5 linked regions of the Rattus norvegicus genome follow. The main gene of each other region encodes a partner of the protein of the gene in region 2 in a complex. Links are inferred from orthologs where the notes say so. Each region holds a gene or a part of one and is shown on either strand. Other genes may lie near its edges. The genes, in order: Cybc1, Cybb, Ncf2, Cyba and Rac2.

Region 1 (2,180 bases), on a different chromosome or scaffold from region 2:
AACTCAGACTAGCTCCTAGGCTTTGAGGTTCAGGGGTTGAGGGCTTGGTCCTCACTATACACCTATAATAGCTGACAGAAATCTGAACCTGTTAAGTCAGGTGGTACCTTTTGGGGAAGCCCCCTTCCCTTAGTCTTGAACTTGTCAGAATTCATGAAGCTTCCTGACTGGGGCTTCTGCATTTGCTTAATGGCCTCATTACCATCCTTTCCTTTTATTCTTTTATTTACCCAGTACTGAGGATTGAACCTGGGGCCTCATACCTGCTGGGCAAGTGCTCTACCACTGGGCTAGATTCCCCAGCCTGGTCCTGTTCTCACTCAAAGAGAAAAGGACATCCACTGTATCTGCTTTCTTTCGTGTGCCCCTTACTCACAGGGGAGTACCAGATGTCAGGCACAGAAGTAGGCTCTGGAAGAGTCCTGGAGGCTTTGGGTTTCTACTGGGAAAGCTTTGTATTTGTACCAGTGTGGTGGGGCTGTACCTCAGCATCAGCTTGGCTCTCTACCTAGAGTTCTGTGTGTGGTTAGCATGCATTCGTTTGCAGGAGGCCATTTTCAACAAGAGCACTGGGAAGGTCATCTTAAAAACATTCAGCCTCTACAAGAAGCTGCTGACTCTTCTCAGAGCGGGCCATGATCAAGGTAAGATGTGGGAACCTACAGGTTGGTGAAGGTTTGGTGAGGCCTGGATGGCTTGGATCCAAGTTCAACTGCTCGAGGAATGAGGGTCCCGCGGACATATCCTGGCTTGCCGGGACAGATCCAGACAGGTGTTTTGCCTACTTCAGAACTCAGCCTGTCAGGAAGGATGGACACTCCTTGGCAGCTCTCCTAGGTTGGGCGAGGGTGACAGGAGAAGAGTCTTCAGGAACCACTTGGCCTTTCTTGATTATCCTGTACCTGATTGTCAGCTCTGCCAGCCCTGCAGTGAGAAAATGGTTAAAGGAACCCCGCAACCCTTGAGCTTATGGGCTTGGAAGGTAGCCTAGTTATGAAGTAGCAGGTTCTCATAGGTCTCCCCCATTATGTATCCAGCTCAGCTACTGCTCATTAAAAATATGCAAGTAAACTCTATGTGCTTTTAACATGAAAAGTTAGACCCCAAAGCATCCAGGCCTCTTAACTCATATCGAGCGCTGGCAGTGTATAGCTGAATGTGGCGCAGATGAAGACCAGAGCTGGTTTGTGGGTGTGAGTTAGTGCACTGTTTGAACTTCCCCGTAGGCTGCTTGTTGGAAGCCCTTGCACATTTGAGAGCCAGTACCCACGGGCTCCAAGCCACATGGTCATCCCCCTTGTCACTGTGACAGTGAGATGAGATAGGTTTCCCAGGGGCTCTTGGGAAAGCAGTATCAGCCATGTATTAGTTAAGCGATGGTTTCTCTGTGCACAGAACTAACTAGCGGGGCTACCCCACTGGAACCAGACAGGTTTCATGAAGATAGCAACTTGAGCTTAGTGATCCCTGTTGTGGGACTGCTCAGGAAAGCCAGTGTCTGCCTGAAACTGCAGCTGTAATGGGTCTCCTGAGTATCCTTATCCAGAAGTTAGTCTGGGTCCACAGTCCTGAAGGTGAACTAGTAAATGCTTTTGTCACTAATGCTACTCCCACTGTTCAGCAGGCTGTGCTGTGCGTGGCATAGGTTGAGAGCATTGGATAAGAGCATAGGGAGACTGCTCATCAGCAAACCCTTCTGTCCCCAGTGGTGGTCCTGTTGAAAGACATCCAGGATGTGAATGTGGAGGAGGAAAAGGTCCGTTACTTTGGGAAGGGCTACATGGTGGTGCTCCGGTTTGCAACAGGCTTCTCCCACCCCCTTACTCAGAGTGCAGTCATGGGCCGACGCAGGTAAGATTGGCATAAAGCAAGACTGGGCTATCCCTTAGTGTTTCTCAGTGTTGTAGACAGGGTGTGGGGCTCTGATCAGGATGTATGTGCTTAGGAGCAGCTTTGCTGCAGCTGTCTGTAGAGGAGGCATCAGAACAGGGTTGGGGCTTCAGTGAGAGTAGGACTGAGGCCAGAGATACTGGGCTCATTTGAGACCACGGGGGGGGGGGGGTGATGTAGGTGTACTGCAGGGGATGAGATAGCGTGGGTCTTTTGTGGTGTGTTGTGGAACTGCACCCTTTGCCAAGGTGACCTGCTTTCTTGATGATTGCCTAGTGACGTGGAAGCCA
Region 2 (3,520 bases):
CTGAGTGATAAGGACTGAGTCCCAGTCACCCCTCCTGCAGCTCCTCCCCTACTTCCTTTTCATCTGAGAAGGGGGAGGCCTCCCACTAGGTATTCCCTCACCCTGGCACATCAGTATCTGTAGGACTAGGCACATCTTTCTTGCTGAGGCCAGACAAGGCAGCCCAGTTAGGCGAGCAATTTCTTTTTAACTTAAGAGACTCATGCTGATTGATGGTCGTAAGTTTGTATTAATTCAATTATGCCCACCACTACTCTCTGGAGATGATGAAGCAGACATTACATGGGTGCTTTTCTCATTTGAGCACAAACACATGAGGGAAGAAGAGAAGCTGTGAATCTATCAAATGTATACTCTTAAAAATTGGTTGGCTGGCTCTTTGGAAACATTAGTTCAACCCCTTCATTTCACAAATAAGGGAACCAATACCAGAAAGGCTGTATGGTTTTTCCACAGTAGCACAGGCAGAACGAAGCTGACCTACTAGGCTTGCCTTACTTCTGTGGTTATTGGGACCCAGTGTCTTTACTGAATCCTAGGCCTCATCCCTTTGGTTCTCTTGAGAGTTAGAGGCTATAGGCAGAACTGATGTGGTACTTCCTTCTCCCCTCATTGTGTCTTTTCCCTGCCCTCTTCAGCCATTCACACCATTGCACATCTGTTCAACGTGGAGTGGTGTGTGAATGCCAGAGTCGGGACTTCGGACCCATATTCAGTAGCACTCTCTAACATTGGAGACAAAGAAAATGAAGAGTATCTCAATTTTGCTAGAGAAAAAATCAAGGTGAGCCTCCCTTCTCTGATTCAGTTGTTTGCCGGGCTGTTAGAACAGAGGACTTCATTTTACTGAATGAAAAAAAACCAATAATTTCTCCATAAAAACCAACAAAGAAAGTTTGCTAGTAATTTAGAATATAAATGTAAAAAATATCTCCTACCCCCCGGTTCTTATATTCAGAAAGGAGCTTATGCCATTTTTATGAACCCAGTGGCTTAGGGAGACAGTCAACTTCCCCAGTTGAATTTCAAACACATTTTCCATGTTTACAAAAACAGCTACAAAACAAAGAACTTTAATTTTGCCCCAAATTTTACATTCAAACTGACATGACAGAAGCTGGCATGACTCATCCTTTTTTTCTGTTATATCATGGATGATTTTTCTTTCCATTGCTCATTGTTTTCTCAATGAGTTATATTGAACATATTAGTTGAACAAACACTGTCATGATCTGTCCAGATTTCCTTGGGTCACTTTTACTGGCTTTGTGTTTCCTCCAGAATGTTTTCCTTTTCAATCACTAAAGCCCCCTCCTCTTCTAAGGACTGCCTTGAGACTTGAAGTTTCTCTTTGTGTAAGGATGTGATCTGAAAGCATCTGGACAATTACTGCTCCCTGAGAAGCCTTCGTCAAATAACCAATGAGTGTCGGTGTTGGCATCCAGCTCCCTTTCCTTTAGTCAGTACAAATTATGAGTACAAACTCTCAGATTGGTTTGTGTATGCCTGAGTATATGACGTTTTCTCATCTTTGTTCAATAGAATTCTCCGAGATTGGAGACAATAAAGGTGGGGGCCAGTCTCACGGGGCCTGGGGGCAGGGATATCTTCGCCCTGACCCTGTGCAACTCTGTGCATCCCAGTCTGCTCTAGAGCACCTATTCTCTGGTTCTACACATTTTTACCATGTTTTTTCTGTTACCTGAAAGTAGACATAGTGAAAGACCATCTATAAGGTCAACTTTACCCCCAAACTCTCATCTAAGCATCTACACATAGTGAAGCCAGCCTCCAGTGGAAGGTGTAGTAAGAATTCATTGGCTAACTATGTACTGTAGCCTTTCCAAGTCAAAGAGAGAGAGAGCATGAGACATTTTGAAGACACCTTTTACTAAGTCAAACTCCACTAGAATCATCTGAATGTTGTTCTTTATCTGTGACTCCCCAATAATGTAAGACAATTTAAATTTGGAAATCTCAACACTGAGAGATATAATTATAATAACCAAAGGGACTGGAAATGCCTTATATAAACAGCTTTAAAATGGATACTCTTACAGTTCTGAGCTTGTGTGTTTCTATTTTCCAGAACCCTGAAGGGGGCCTGTATGTGGCTGTGACTCGGTTGGCTGGCATCACAGGAATTGTCATCACACTGTGTCTTATATTGATCATCACATCCTCCACCAAAACCATTCGGAGGTCTTACTTTGAAGTGTTCTGGTATACACACCATCTCTTTGTGATCTTCTTCATCGGCCTTGCCATCCATGGAGCTGAGTGAGTTCTCTAACTCCATTGCCAAATACTTTGGTTTCACTTTCTAGATGTTTTGACCAAGGAAAGGCACAGGAGAGAACAGTTGAGGTCAGTCAAAAAAAAAAAAAAAGACAACCTCCCCCCAAAAAACCCCAGCAATGGTTTTTGCTTTCTTATTGTACCCATGCAATTCATAATGGGTGATTTAAAATAAGCTTGAAATATATACCTCGTGTATAAAATACACTGACTATGGTTTGTCTCAAGGCCATTATTTGTGTAGATTGCCCACTATATTCTTGCCTAAAGAGAAGAAAGGTAGTCTACTCTCTGCATGGCCATACTTTACTGAAATCATTGGTTTGGTCTTGGATGACCACCTCAATGCTTCCTACAGATAAATCATGAGTAGGTTAGGCAAAATCCCAAGGTAGAGGAATTAGTGATTAATCAGCTGAAGCAGTTTCAGCAGTAGCTGAATCACTACTGGTTTCCTACTGGGTATGAGAATCTACCTCAGGAATTAGGGAGGAATGCTAGCTAGAAAAATACATGGGCATTACCTTCAAAATTTCAAATATGATAAAAACTAATTAACTTCCACCAAACTCTATGTTCAGCACTAAGAACTTGATATTCAATGTTTCTTTTAACCATCTCATGTGTAGATGTGGAACCCAAAGGTAAAAATGGTAAAATGTGGGCCAAGCCACTCCAGGCTGGTGAGTAGCCTAGAGAACAGGTGGTTTTGAGTGGGCTGCGGTGAAAACTCTCATAAGGACACACAGTGCTTGACTTTATGCTTGGAAAAACTGCTTTAATATCAAGTTTCATTTTTTCTACTCTTTCGCACCACCTGCACATAAAAGCCAAGGCCAGGAACATTCCATAATGGGTATAGAGTTCCAGGAACACAGGGGGAGGGAAAGAGAATATGCAAAGCTCAATTCAAGTAAACTAGGGGTGACCAAGTCTTGAGAGTGAAAAGAGGAAGGATAGAAGAAAAACAACTGTGGCCAACTTCTGTGTGCATTCTTCACCTACTTCCTGATTTGCACCACTGTGAAACTCTTTCTAAGCACTGAGAGGTCTGTAGGAGTGGAGGATCTGCTGAGTCTCCTAAAGCAACCGAGTGCCTTTCCCTGGAACTTGCTCACAATTCAGCTATCTCAGAGAATCCTTCAAGGGAGAAAGCTTGTCTTCCCCTCCCCACTTTACTAATCCCACTGCTTCCAGTTTAGTCCCCACATTAACTAGAAAA
Region 3 (4,229 bases), on a different chromosome or scaffold from region 2:
AGCCACCATGTGGTTGCTGGGAATTGAACTCATGACCTCTGGAAGAGCAGTCGGGTGCTCTTAACCGCTGAGCCATCTCTCCAGCCCTTGTCTCAGCTTCTTAAATGGCCAGAGTGGCAGGCCTCTGTCACCAGGCCAGACTCTGACTCCTTCCATCATTCCTTAAGAGCCAGTGCCAAGGGTCTGAGAATAAAGGGCAGTGTCCCAAATTTCAAGGGACCTAAGAACTAAGCAGGTAGAGAGGAAACACGGTCGTTATTTAGGAGGAGGTAAGACAAAGGGACAATACTCCCTCGGTAATCTAGAGTGTGGAGCGGGCTGTCGCACAGGTATGGACACAGGAAGGAGACTGGATGGGTGAGCCTGGAAGCTTGAGGAGATGACCAGGCAAAGAAGCGAGATAGGAAGGGCTGCCAGAGACAGGGGCGAGGCTATGCAACGGCGCCTTCTTCTTCTTAGCCCTCCTGCCTTTACGAACCCTGTGCTGAGTTCTTTCAGGTGCCTCAAGACAAGACTTAGAAACGTTCATGCATCTGACCCTCATGAACTGTGTTTCACCCACCAAGGAGTCCGGACCTCAGCGGATTTCATCATTTAGACACCCTACCTCGATTTTCCTCAGAAAAGTTTGGTTGTTGTTGTTTGTTTGTTTGTTGGTTTGTTTTTAAATTAACTTAGACGTTAGCAGGGCAGTAAGTAAAGGAATCTGAAATCTGTATTTACAGAAACTAGTGAACTCATTAGTCATACGAGGAGCCGTCTCTTCAGCTTCTCACAGACAGACGGAGAGATGATAACGGCTGTCACGTCTGCCTCCCAGTCTGGGTATTTCCTTAAAGTTATCTCAGACCCTAATGGACACTCAAGATGCCCCACCCTGTCTCAGGAATGTGTAGCATGGATCCTCACCCCCCCCCTCCAGATTTAAAAACAAAACAGCTAGTCTATTGGTTGTGCATCTATAACTCCAGAATGGGAATTGGGAATTCAGACGAGCCTGGGTTACATCCGCAGACCACAAACAAGCGTGTCGACAGCCTGAGACCCAGACCTGAGAGAGAGGACCAGAGAGCAAGGAAGTCTTCCAAGGACGAAAAGAGTCAAGTACAGGGGCATGTCCAGACCTGCTGAGGTCCCCCTGACCTGAAGCTGCCACAGAGGGTGTGGGAGGCAGAGACAAGTAGGACGTAGCAAAAACACTTAGAGGAACTGACTGGCTCATGGCAGGCAGCCTCCGATGTACTTCCTCTTTCCTAGCCAGCCTCCTCCAGCCTTCTCTCTTTCCTTTTCTCTCTCATGCTAGCTTATGCGTCAGTTCCTGAACGGTGGGGAAACTTCCTGACGCTATGAAGCCGCCCAAAGGGAGGCTAGACCCCATTCAGTGCACTAGGCTGGAACGCTGAAGCCCGGGGTGCCAGTAGCTCTAAGGAGAGACACCTTGAACTACCATCCTGTCTTCTAGTAAGCACCTAACCATGTCCCTAGCTGAGGCCATCAGGCTCTGGAATGAGGGGGTGCAGGCAGCCGACAAGAAGGACTGGAAGGGTGCCTTGGAGGCCTTCAGCGAGGTGCAGGACCCCCACTCGAGGATTTGCTTCAACATAGGCTGCATGTACACCATCCTGGACAACCTGCAGGAGGCTGAGCAGGTGAGTCGAGGGGCCCGTAATTATAGCCTTTCTGACCTCTGGAAACCTCACCTTCCAAAGCCTTAAAGGAACAAAAGCCTTCTAGAACTACCCCAGAGGCCCCAACTAACTGCCTCTGGCTGAGCAGGCAGTTTTAAGAGCGCCCAGGGCAGGATTTTTCCGAGCCACCCAAGGGTGGGGCTCTGCTCTACAAGATCTCTACATTATCCAAGATCATCTTTTAACCCTTTGTGAAGACTTCTTAAGCTGTGCTCTCTTTGACAGCGCCTCCTGGGTAAGCTTTCTCTGTCTTACCCTGGCATCCAGTTTTAAAATGCCTCTATGGCTTCTAGGGACTTACCATCCTATTAGTTTGGCCTGCTCAAAGAACAATTCTGATCAACAAGGCAGGTTACTTCTGTAAGGATTCTGAGGCTAGCTGAGGAAACTCACACTGTGATTAAGTCATGAGGTTCACCAAGGGTGTGGGGTAGGTATTTCTATGTCTTTTGAAGTTTTTAAAATACATTTTCTCTGGTTTGGCGTTGAACATGTCCAATTCTGTTTATTTTATTTTGATTTTTTTTCTTTTCTTTTTTTTTCGGAGCTGGGGACCGAACCCAGGGCCTTGCGCTTGCTAGGCAAGCGCTCTACCACTGAGCTAAATCCCCAACCCCCCCCACCCCCTTTTTTTTTATGACAGGGTTTCTCTGAGGAGCCCTGGTTATCCTAGGACACAATCTATAGATCAGGTTGGCTTTGAACTCACAAAATCACAGAGATCTGCCTGCCTCTGCCTCCGAAGTGCTGGTATCAAAGATGTTCAACATGCCCACCAGGCCTCTTGATTGATTGATTGATTGATTGATTGATTGATTGATTGATTGATTGTGTGTGTGTGTGTGTGTGTGTGTGTGTGTATGCATGAGAGAGAGAGAGGTGGCTACATATGTCACAGCACACATGTGTCAATCAAAGGACAGCTTTGTGGAGTTCCGTCTATTTTTACCGGGGTTCCAGTGATCAACCCCAAACCTCCAGGATTGCACAGCAAGTGCCAGGAGCTGTCCACCCTGTTTTGTTTTTGTTTTTGTTTTTGTTTCTTGTTGCTGCTGTTTTGTCTTTTAGGTAGAGTCTCTTATTGGCCCAGAACTTGCCCATTAGGCTTGGCTGGTTAGAGAGCCTGTCTCTGTCCTCCCCACCCCCACCTGTCCCCCGCCTTAGATTAGAAAGGATGTGACCCCACACCTGCTTGTTTTTTTCCCACCTGGACTCTGTAGGCTGTCAAGCTTCCGAGGCCAGCATTTTACCCACTGACCCATTTACCCAGCCTCTGCCCCCTCCAAAGAACCAGTTCGCACTGGTCATCCTTTTGCCAGCAGGGGAACAAACACTGCCCACACCCTGACAGGAGGAGAGAAAGTAACTTGATATGCTTAGACTCTACGGTCTGCAAGCATATGGCAGGGAGTATGGCCCATCCAGCCTCTGCCTGGAGGGAGGACTGCCTCCTCCACCTCCTCCCCTCAGGATGGGGCTGTATCCTCAGAGCTGGGGGACAAAAGGAGGCAGCTCTCCAGGACCAGGCTCTGACATAGGCCCTGCGTGCTCACACCCTGGCCTGGACCTGGCACTCTTGGCCAAGCTGTGCCACCTCACACCCTCAGATCACTGGCTTCTACCCTTACTGGTCAAGATCTTTCTTTCTATTTTTCTGTTGCCAGACCTCTTATCCCCTCTGCCCTTGTTTTCCTGTTTAATCCAATATAAATAATATTATATATATGTATTCTTATTTGTTTTATTATTTTAGTGCTATAAATGGTTACACAATACATCTATATCAAACAAAAACAATATACATTGTAACTATATCACTATTATTATTATTATTATTTTAATGCGAGTGGGTGTTTTGAGACCATGTGTGTACCTGATTCTCAAGGGGGCAGAAGAGGCTATCAGAACCTCTAGAACTAGACTGCAGATAGTTGCAAGCCACTACGTGGGTGCTGGGAATTTTATACTCTTCCTCTGGAGGAGCAGCAAGCACTCTTATCTGCTGGGCCATCTCTCTGTCCCCATCACTTATTTTACAGAGGAAAGCAGGGAGGTTCAGGAAGATTAGGTAACTCACCACAGGCTATGCAAAGGGGAAATAACACCCCAGGGCATTTCGACCCAAAATGTCTATACCCCAAGCCAATTTTGTCACCTTGCATTGCTGAATCATTATGACACACATCTTGCCTCTTGCTGCCAATGCTTACACTTCCTCTCTGCCTGGCTCTGTGGCCATGTAACCCTTCCCCCTGCAGGCCTTCACCAAAAGCATCAACAGAGACAAGCACTTGGCAGTGGCTTACTTCCAGCGAGGAATGCTCTACTACAGCATGGAGAAGTAAGTGGTGTCGGAGTGTGACAGCGGCCTTTGGGTCTTTGTTCTGGTAGACTTGGTATTCAATAAGTACCGTCCAGCTTCTGTGGGTAGGAAGGCTGCCTTGCTCTTTCTGGGCAGTTATGCAAGAAATATCATGCGAGAGGCTTTTCTGGGGGGGGGGGTTAGGGGGAGGCAAGTCTGACCTCATTGTAAGTCATCAG
Region 4 (2,806 bases), on a different chromosome or scaffold from region 2:
GCTGTGTATATATATACATGTGTATATATATATATATGTTGTGTATATGTATATATATATACACACACACACATATATTTAGTCTGAGTAAAACTTACTGCAAACTTCTAGAATAGAAAGAAAAAATTTTTTTTAATTTTTGCTTATTGTTTGAAATAGTATTGACCTGGAATCTGTGATTCTTCTAGCTTAGCCTCAGGGGTGTGGAGGTTGCAGACATGACCACACCTAGCTAAGAAAACAATACATTGGAAGAGCAGGCGGTTCTCTTAAACACTGAGCCATCTCTCCAGCTCTTTCGTAACCGACATCTTCAGATGCTCCTTACGCCAGGTGCATCACGGTCTTCCGAAGCCTACAACAGACTCCTAGCTTTTATTTATCCGTTTGTTTTGAGACAGGGTTTCAGGTTGGTCTCAGGTTCACTCTGTAGCAGAAGATGACTTTGAATTCCTGGTCCTCTCACAGCCATCTCCCAAGTACTAGGATTTCAGGGACTCGTGTATCCCAGCCTGTCCTGGCGCGTACTATGTAAGGGAGGCTGGCCTTGAACTCATGTCTTCCTGCCTCCACCTTCCAAGTGTTGAGGTTACCTACCAGTCCACCATGTCCAGTTTATGCAGTCCTGGGGGTTGCATTGAGAGCTTCGTGCACGCTAGGTAAGCACCCCACCAACCTAGCCACTTCTCTAGCCTTCACTGGTTCGTTTGAGCCACAATCACTTGTAGCCCAGGCTGTTCTCAAACTCATGGGGTTAGCCTTGAACTCTGACCATCTTGCCTCTACCTCCCCAGTACTCCGATTATAGTTGTTCACCACGGTGCTAAGATAGTAAGCCTATGGAGGTCAAAGGGCAACTTACGGAGTCGTTCTCTCCTGATGGATCCCGTCGGGATGAACTCGGGTCTTCGGGCTTGGTGGTGGCAAGTGCCTTTCCTCGCTCCCTCATCTTGCCAATTCCACAAAATACCTTCCATGCACTCTTACGATTGGTCAAGGAAAGTGTAAAGGCACAATCACATTACTTTACCCATCGCCCTAGATCAGAAGCCCTCAAAATCCCAAAGACGGGAGAAGCACATCAGTAAATCGTGGTTGATTTCATATACTAGAACACGAGATCGATTTTTAAAAGTTAGTTAAGAAGCAGGGTGTGGTGGTCCCTGCCTGCAACCCAAGCACACGGGGGAGGGAGACCAGGAGTTCCAGACCATCCGGTATCGACAGCAAAACCAGCATGAGCCACTGGTGATTTACAGAGCGCATCACTTCAACGTCATCTGAGCCAAAGACACAGATACAAGAAAGAACTTCCTGAAATGAGGGAAGTTGTGAGTTGTGTGGTCCCATGGGGGAACCAAGCCTAACTCGTGTGTATTCTACTGTAAGGAAGTCTTGGATGGGCTGGCCGAGACATTAGTGGGGGTGAGGGTAGCTCGATACTGCAGGAATGTGCCCCTCCCCCTCCCCTCCCCCCGTCCCCCTCCCCACCGCCCCCAAACAGGGTTTCTCTGTTGTTCTGTCTATCCTAGAAGTTCCTCTGTAGACCAGGCTGGCCTCCAACTCACAGAGACCTGCCTGCCTCTGCCTCCTGAGTGCTGGGACTGAAGGTGTGTGCCACCAGCGCCCAGCTATTACCCACCTCCCACCCCCTACCCCCGACGGGGATGGAACTCAGTATGTACTACGTACAGAAGGACCAGGAAGTAACAGCGTAGCTGAGAAGAGTTGACATTCCAACCCGAGTGTAGCACCAACAGCTAATGGAGTCCCGCTTGCTGTGGCCACCTCCCCGAGTGTCCTCTCTGTCCCTGAACCCCATGCCGTACAGTGCCCTGCTCCAGTAGGCAGAGAGTTGGAGGTGGTCCCAAGTCCAGGGGCAAGGTCAAGCTGGCTCACTCCTGCAGCAGGTGGTGAGTCCTAACCACCACCCTCCATCTTTAGTCCTCATCACAGGGGGCATCGTGGCTACTGCGGGACGCTTCACGCAGTGGTACTTTGGTGCTTACTCTATGTATCCTTCTACTGGGGGCCAGGAGGGTGAGGTGATGAGAGCGCTTCCAGGACTAGTGTGTGAATTTACAAGAGCACTACACATAAGCTGTTCCGCCACAGCCTCCGGAAGCAGGGCCAGCCCTGTCTGCAGTTTTAGAAGCCATGGCCCAGGGCTGGACAGCCACTTCCAAAGGTCACAGAGGGTGGGGTTTGGGCAAACATGGAGCTGAGGCCCAAGATCCCAAGGTTTGGACTGGAGTACATCGCCTCCGCCCCACCTTGCTGGACAGTGCCTGAGAACTGAACGGGGTGGAGGGTAGGTATGGGGCAGGAGCTGTGCCTCGACTTACCTGTAGGCAGTAGTACACCCTGGCCTAGGCCTAGCGTGGCTTTCCTTAACCTCACCTCAGTGTTGCAGGAGTGCTCATCTGTCTGCTGGAGTACCCCCGGGGAAAGAGGAAAAAGGGCTCCACCATGGAGCGGTGGTAAGTCACTCCTACCTGGGGACCTGCCCCCACAGAGCCAACTGACTTGTCCAGAGCTTCCAGCCCAAGGCCTCATGTGCCCAGGAGGAAAAGGACCTAGAACCCTGGAAGGGGGCGGATAAGGAGTGACCAGGGATTCTGAGTGCGGTTGGTGCTGACCCTCTGATCTTTTGTCTTCCCGCTGTCTAGTGGACAGAAGTACCTGACCGCTGTGGTGAAGCTGTTCGGGCCCCTCACCAGAAATTACTACGTCCGGGCTGTCCTCCACTTACTGTGAGTCTCTCTGCCCATCCCCCGGGGAACAGGAGACTAGAAAAACACCTCAT
Region 5 (2,937 bases), on a different chromosome or scaffold from region 2:
GTCCATTCCTTCCTGCATCATCGATTGCCTGTGAGCTCCTCTGATCTGGGTCTTAGACTGTGTGTGTGTGTGTGTGTGTGTGTGTGTGTGTGTGTGTGTGTGTGTGTGTGGTATGTCGGGGGGAGAGAGAGAGAGAGAAAGAAGGGGGGAGGGAGAGAGAGTGTGTGTTCTTCAGCCTGTGACATTTCTCCCTGAGGCTATTTCATCCTCTGTGGGGAACAGAAATCCCCTCCTTTCCAGCTTCTGAGAGGATAAGCCTAGGACCCCAGGTTCAGAGTGCCTCACCACTGGTCACCACAAGGATGGGGAACCCCGAGGGACAGAGGCCTTAAGCCCCTACCTAGAGCCATCTCTGGAATAAGCAGCTGGACACCAGGGAAGGACCCTGGCTTCATCTTCTCAGTGGGAATAGCGAGCCATGAGAACTTTCCAGAAACAAGAAACACCCTGCAGTGGCTGCACAGTGTCTGGCTCCCAGAGCTCCGTTCCCTCCTTGCTGTCTCCCAAGCCTTGGCTTCAGTGGCTCCCCTCCAGGGGTGACCCCTCATTGCAGTTCTGCACCTTTGGGCCTGTGGCTGCTCTGCTCTGGGCCCAGTGAGGTGGGGAGGGCCGCCAGTTCCTCAGCTGTCAGAAGCTCCTAACTCAGAAAGGAGAGCAGAAGGAGTCAGGGATGGCACCGGGCTCCCTTCCTTCCCCTTTCCTTCCCCAGGACTCTGTGTCTCCCAGCCTCTGTGTCAGGGCCCTGGGCTCAGGTTGGAGGGGGTGGGTAGTCATGCAGATGCCTCCAGGGGCCTGTCCTCGGGACTGCACAGAAGACCTCAATAATTTCTTCCCTTCACTGAGCTGCCCTGGGGCAGGCAGGTCCCACAGTCTCTGTTAGCCCTGGTTTGCCCATAAATTGGGTTTGCCCATAATTGATATATGTATTAGGGTGTCCTCAGACCTGCTCAGAGGTGTCAGCTTCATAAGGAAGGCCGTGAGGGATTTGGTTCTTGTCATGGAAGCAGGTCCTATCCACCTTCCAAACCTTTGTGTCTGTGGGGGTCTTTCACTATTCCCACTGAGTCCTATAGGAGGGAGATGAAGTACAGAGAGGCATATTGCCTCTTGGGTGATACTCCCCACTCAGATGATACTCACATTCAAGGGATACTCCCTTGGGTGATACTCCGCACTCAGGTGATAACTCCCCACTCGGGTAGACACAGCCTCTCCATGACTCAGGCCCCTGCTCTCCCGCTGTCCCTCCTCAGATTCAGTGAAGTACTTGGAATGTTCTGCACTCACCCAGCGAGGCCTGAAGACCGTCTTCGATGAGGCAATCCGAGCAGTCCTGTGCCCACAGCCCACACGGCAGCAGAAACGCCCCTGCAGCCTGCTCTAGGGGTATACAGCTCTCCACTGCTGGAAGGGTACCCTACCCTAGGGCCAGCCCTCAGGTCACTGAGTGTTAGACCAGGACAGAGGGCCATGGGTACCTAGGTAGCCTCAGTCTCCCCTCTTTGTCACTGCCTGTGAAGCTCTTCCTTTCCGGATTCAACCCAAGCAAGCCAGAACCTGTCCAGTGACTTAAACCAGGACACAGGAGTTTCCTGCCTCTCATTTAGCCTGTCCTTGTCACAAAAATCTAATGACACTGGGGAACCCCAAGAATACCCTGGGTGGGATATGCGGGGGTGCGTGGGGAGGAGAGGAAGAGAGCTCTGGGGGAGACAGCCATTGAAAGCAGCCATGGGCCTGAATGGCCCTGAGCTGGGATGTGTCTGTCCTCGACACTGACCCTTTCCTGTCTCCCTTCCAGGTGTCTTCCCAGTCTTCCCACTCCCACGGTCCTGACCCTCCAGGGCTCCCCACCAAAGCCCAGCGATATACTGGTGGGACATGCTGTCCCCTGTGTGTGGTGTTTCTTCACAGTCATCTGCAGAACTTGCCTCTCTCCTCCATGGAGGTCCCAGGGTATGGGGTGATGTTGATAGGTCACATCCTACCCGGAAGATTCCTGTGTTCCCAGGGACCAGAGGGGAGCCCCAAGACTCAGCCATCCATCCTCATGTCATACAGCATCATGCACCCACCTGCTCCAGGCCTTTCTGACGCCTCTCTCGAAGCTTCCGGTCTCTGTGGCCTGTCACCACGGTGTTCGCCTTGTTGGAACACCTCCTTCCCTGAACCAAAGGGAGAGATGTGGAAGTCTGCTCCTCTGTCTTCCTTTGTCAGAAAAACACAGAACCAATCTATTTTGGTAAATCTCTGATCTGCCCAGCCAAGTGAGGGTCTGAGCTCAGCTGACCCCTACAGTCTCTCAAGGCTTCCTATGCTACTCGAAGGGTGGGGCTGCACCCTCTTGGCACTGCCCACCCCACCTGCCATAGCAAATGGAAAACACAAGTCTCTTGCTTATGCAGAAAATAAATGTGTTGATTCTCGGTGGACGTGCTATGAGTTCAGGCGCAGCTTGATCAAGGTGGGGCAGAGGGTTCAGACCATACCACGGACCTTGCCTTCCCGTCCATTTTGGTTCTGCCTGCTAGGCTCACTTTCTGGCTGTTGATTCTTGGGACTTGATCCTCTGAGGTCAAGTTCAGGTGAAGTCTGCCCTGGGCAAGTTCTAAGGAAGGGCTACTCTGATTGGACCAGCTTGTCTTAGGCCCACCCTCAATCACACCGGTGTGTTTGTGTGTGTGTGTGTGTGTGTGTGTGTGTGTGTGTGTGTGATTGAGAGAGAGAGAGAGAGAGAGAGAGAGAGAGAGAGAGACACTGTGCTGTGACTGACCATGAGTTGGGTTAGAGCCATTAGTAGAGGTGACACCAGGAAGCGTGGATATAGGGTGAGTGAGTGAGTGAGTGTGGGTAAATTCTTGAGGGGGTCTAATAGGGATCTCTAACCTCGACAGTCAGAGGTCATGGTAAGTGTCCTTTCTACCACTACCGCCGACA

Evidence for each region.
Region 1: the proteins of Cybb (region 2) and Cybc1 are in contact, whole or in part, in a cryo-EM structure (PDB 8KEI), measured with the Homo sapiens proteins. The link is inferred for Rattus norvegicus from reciprocal best matches to the Homo sapiens genes CYBB and CYBC1. Residues at the interface, in NP_000388.2 of Homo sapiens: Trp28, Asn74, Leu75, Leu76, Ser77, Phe78, Leu79, Arg80, Gly81, Ser82, Ser83, Ala84, Cys85, Cys86, Trp206, His210, Phe212, Pro266, Met268, Trp270, Lys271, Ile273, Tyr280, Tyr324, Phe326, Lys328, Leu335, Glu336, Trp337, His338; in NP_001028218.1 of Homo sapiens: Arg22, Leu26, Ala37, Ser41, Gly42, Asp43, Trp47, Phe50, Tyr51, Phe57, Gln61, Asn62, Glu64, Lys77, His97, Asp98, Gln99, Val100, Val101, Val102, Leu103, Arg108, Ser111, Glu115, Val117, Arg118, Tyr119, Phe120, Arg129, Ala131.
Region 3: Cybb (region 2) and Ncf2 share a complex: the UniProt entries of both Homo sapiens proteins name them as parts of the phagocyte NADPH oxidase complex. The link is inferred for Rattus norvegicus from reciprocal best matches to the Homo sapiens genes CYBB and NCF2.
Region 4: the proteins of Cybb (region 2) and Cyba are in contact, whole or in part, in a cryo-EM structure (PDB 8X2L), measured with the Homo sapiens proteins. The link is inferred for Rattus norvegicus from reciprocal best matches to the Homo sapiens genes CYBB and CYBA. Residues at the interface, in NP_000388.2 of Homo sapiens: Thr116, Ile117, Leu120, Phe121, Val123, Glu124, Asn128, Asn133, Lys161, Asn162, Pro163, Gly166, Leu167, Ala170, Val180, Thr183, Leu184, Ile187, Leu188, Thr191, Ser192, Thr194, Lys195, Thr196, Ile197, Arg199, Ser200, Tyr201, Glu203, Val204; in NP_000092.2 of Homo sapiens: Gln3, Ile4, Glu5, Trp6, Met8, Trp9, Glu12, Gln13, Ala16, Ile20, Thr23, Val27, Gly31, Phe33, Thr34, Gln35, Arg56, Arg59, Met65, Gly102, Phe103, Leu104, Leu105, Ala106, Ile108, Leu109, Ala112, Cys113, Ile116.
Region 5: Cybb (region 2) and Rac2 share a complex: the UniProt entries of both Homo sapiens proteins name them as parts of the phagocyte NADPH oxidase complex. The link is inferred for Rattus norvegicus from reciprocal best matches to the Homo sapiens genes CYBB and RAC2.

The regions. Positions count from the first base shown.
Region 1 is NC_086028.1:106,998,681-107,000,860, reverse strand, and holds part of Cybc1 (cytochrome b-245 chaperone 1), read left to right. Parts: exon of another isoform or gene 1-547; coding exon 548-644; exon of another isoform or gene 645-1,706; coding exon 1,707-1,851; exon of another isoform or gene 1,852-2,166; coding exon 2,167-2,180. UniProt on the Homo sapiens protein: Functions as a chaperone necessary for a stable expression of the CYBA and CYBB subunits of the cytochrome b-245 heterodimer. Controls the phagocyte respiratory burst and is essential for innate immunity.
Region 2 is NC_086039.1:16,048,066-16,051,585, reverse strand, and holds part of Cybb (cytochrome b-245 beta chain), read left to right. Parts: intron 1-638; coding exon 639-784; intron 785-2,089; coding exon 2,090-2,280; intron 2,281-3,520. UniProt on the Homo sapiens protein: Catalytic subunit of the phagocyte NADPH oxidase complex that mediates the transfer of electrons from cytosolic NADPH to O2 to produce the superoxide anion (O2(-)).
Region 3 is NC_086031.1:67,504,063-67,508,291, forward strand, and holds the start of Ncf2 (neutrophil cytosol factor 2), read left to right. Parts: upstream 1-1,429; 5' UTR 1,430-1,475; coding exon 1,476-1,649; intron 1,650-3,946; coding exon 3,947-4,029; intron 4,030-4,229. UniProt on the Homo sapiens protein: Subunit of the phagocyte NADPH oxidase complex that mediates the transfer of electrons from cytosolic NADPH to O2 to produce the superoxide anion (O2(-)).
Region 4 is NC_086037.1:67,398,417-67,401,222, reverse strand, and holds part of Cyba (cytochrome b-245 light chain), read left to right. Parts: intron 1-1,944; coding exon 1,945-2,014; intron 2,015-2,405; coding exon 2,406-2,480; intron 2,481-2,669; coding exon 2,670-2,753; intron 2,754-2,806. UniProt on the Homo sapiens protein: Subunit of NADPH oxidase complexes that is required for the NADPH oxidase activity that generates, in various cell types, superoxide from molecular oxygen utilizing NADPH as an electron donor.
Region 5 is NC_086025.1:111,996,233-111,999,169, reverse strand, and holds the end of Rac2 (ras-related C3 botulinum toxin substrate 2), read left to right. Parts: exon of another isoform or gene 1-201; intron 202-1,253; coding exon 1,254-1,384; 3' UTR 1,385-1,386; exon of another isoform or gene 1,387-1,412; intron 1,413-1,801; 3' UTR 1,802-2,426; downstream 2,427-2,937. UniProt on the Homo sapiens protein: Plasma membrane-associated small GTPase which cycles between an active GTP-bound and inactive GDP-bound state.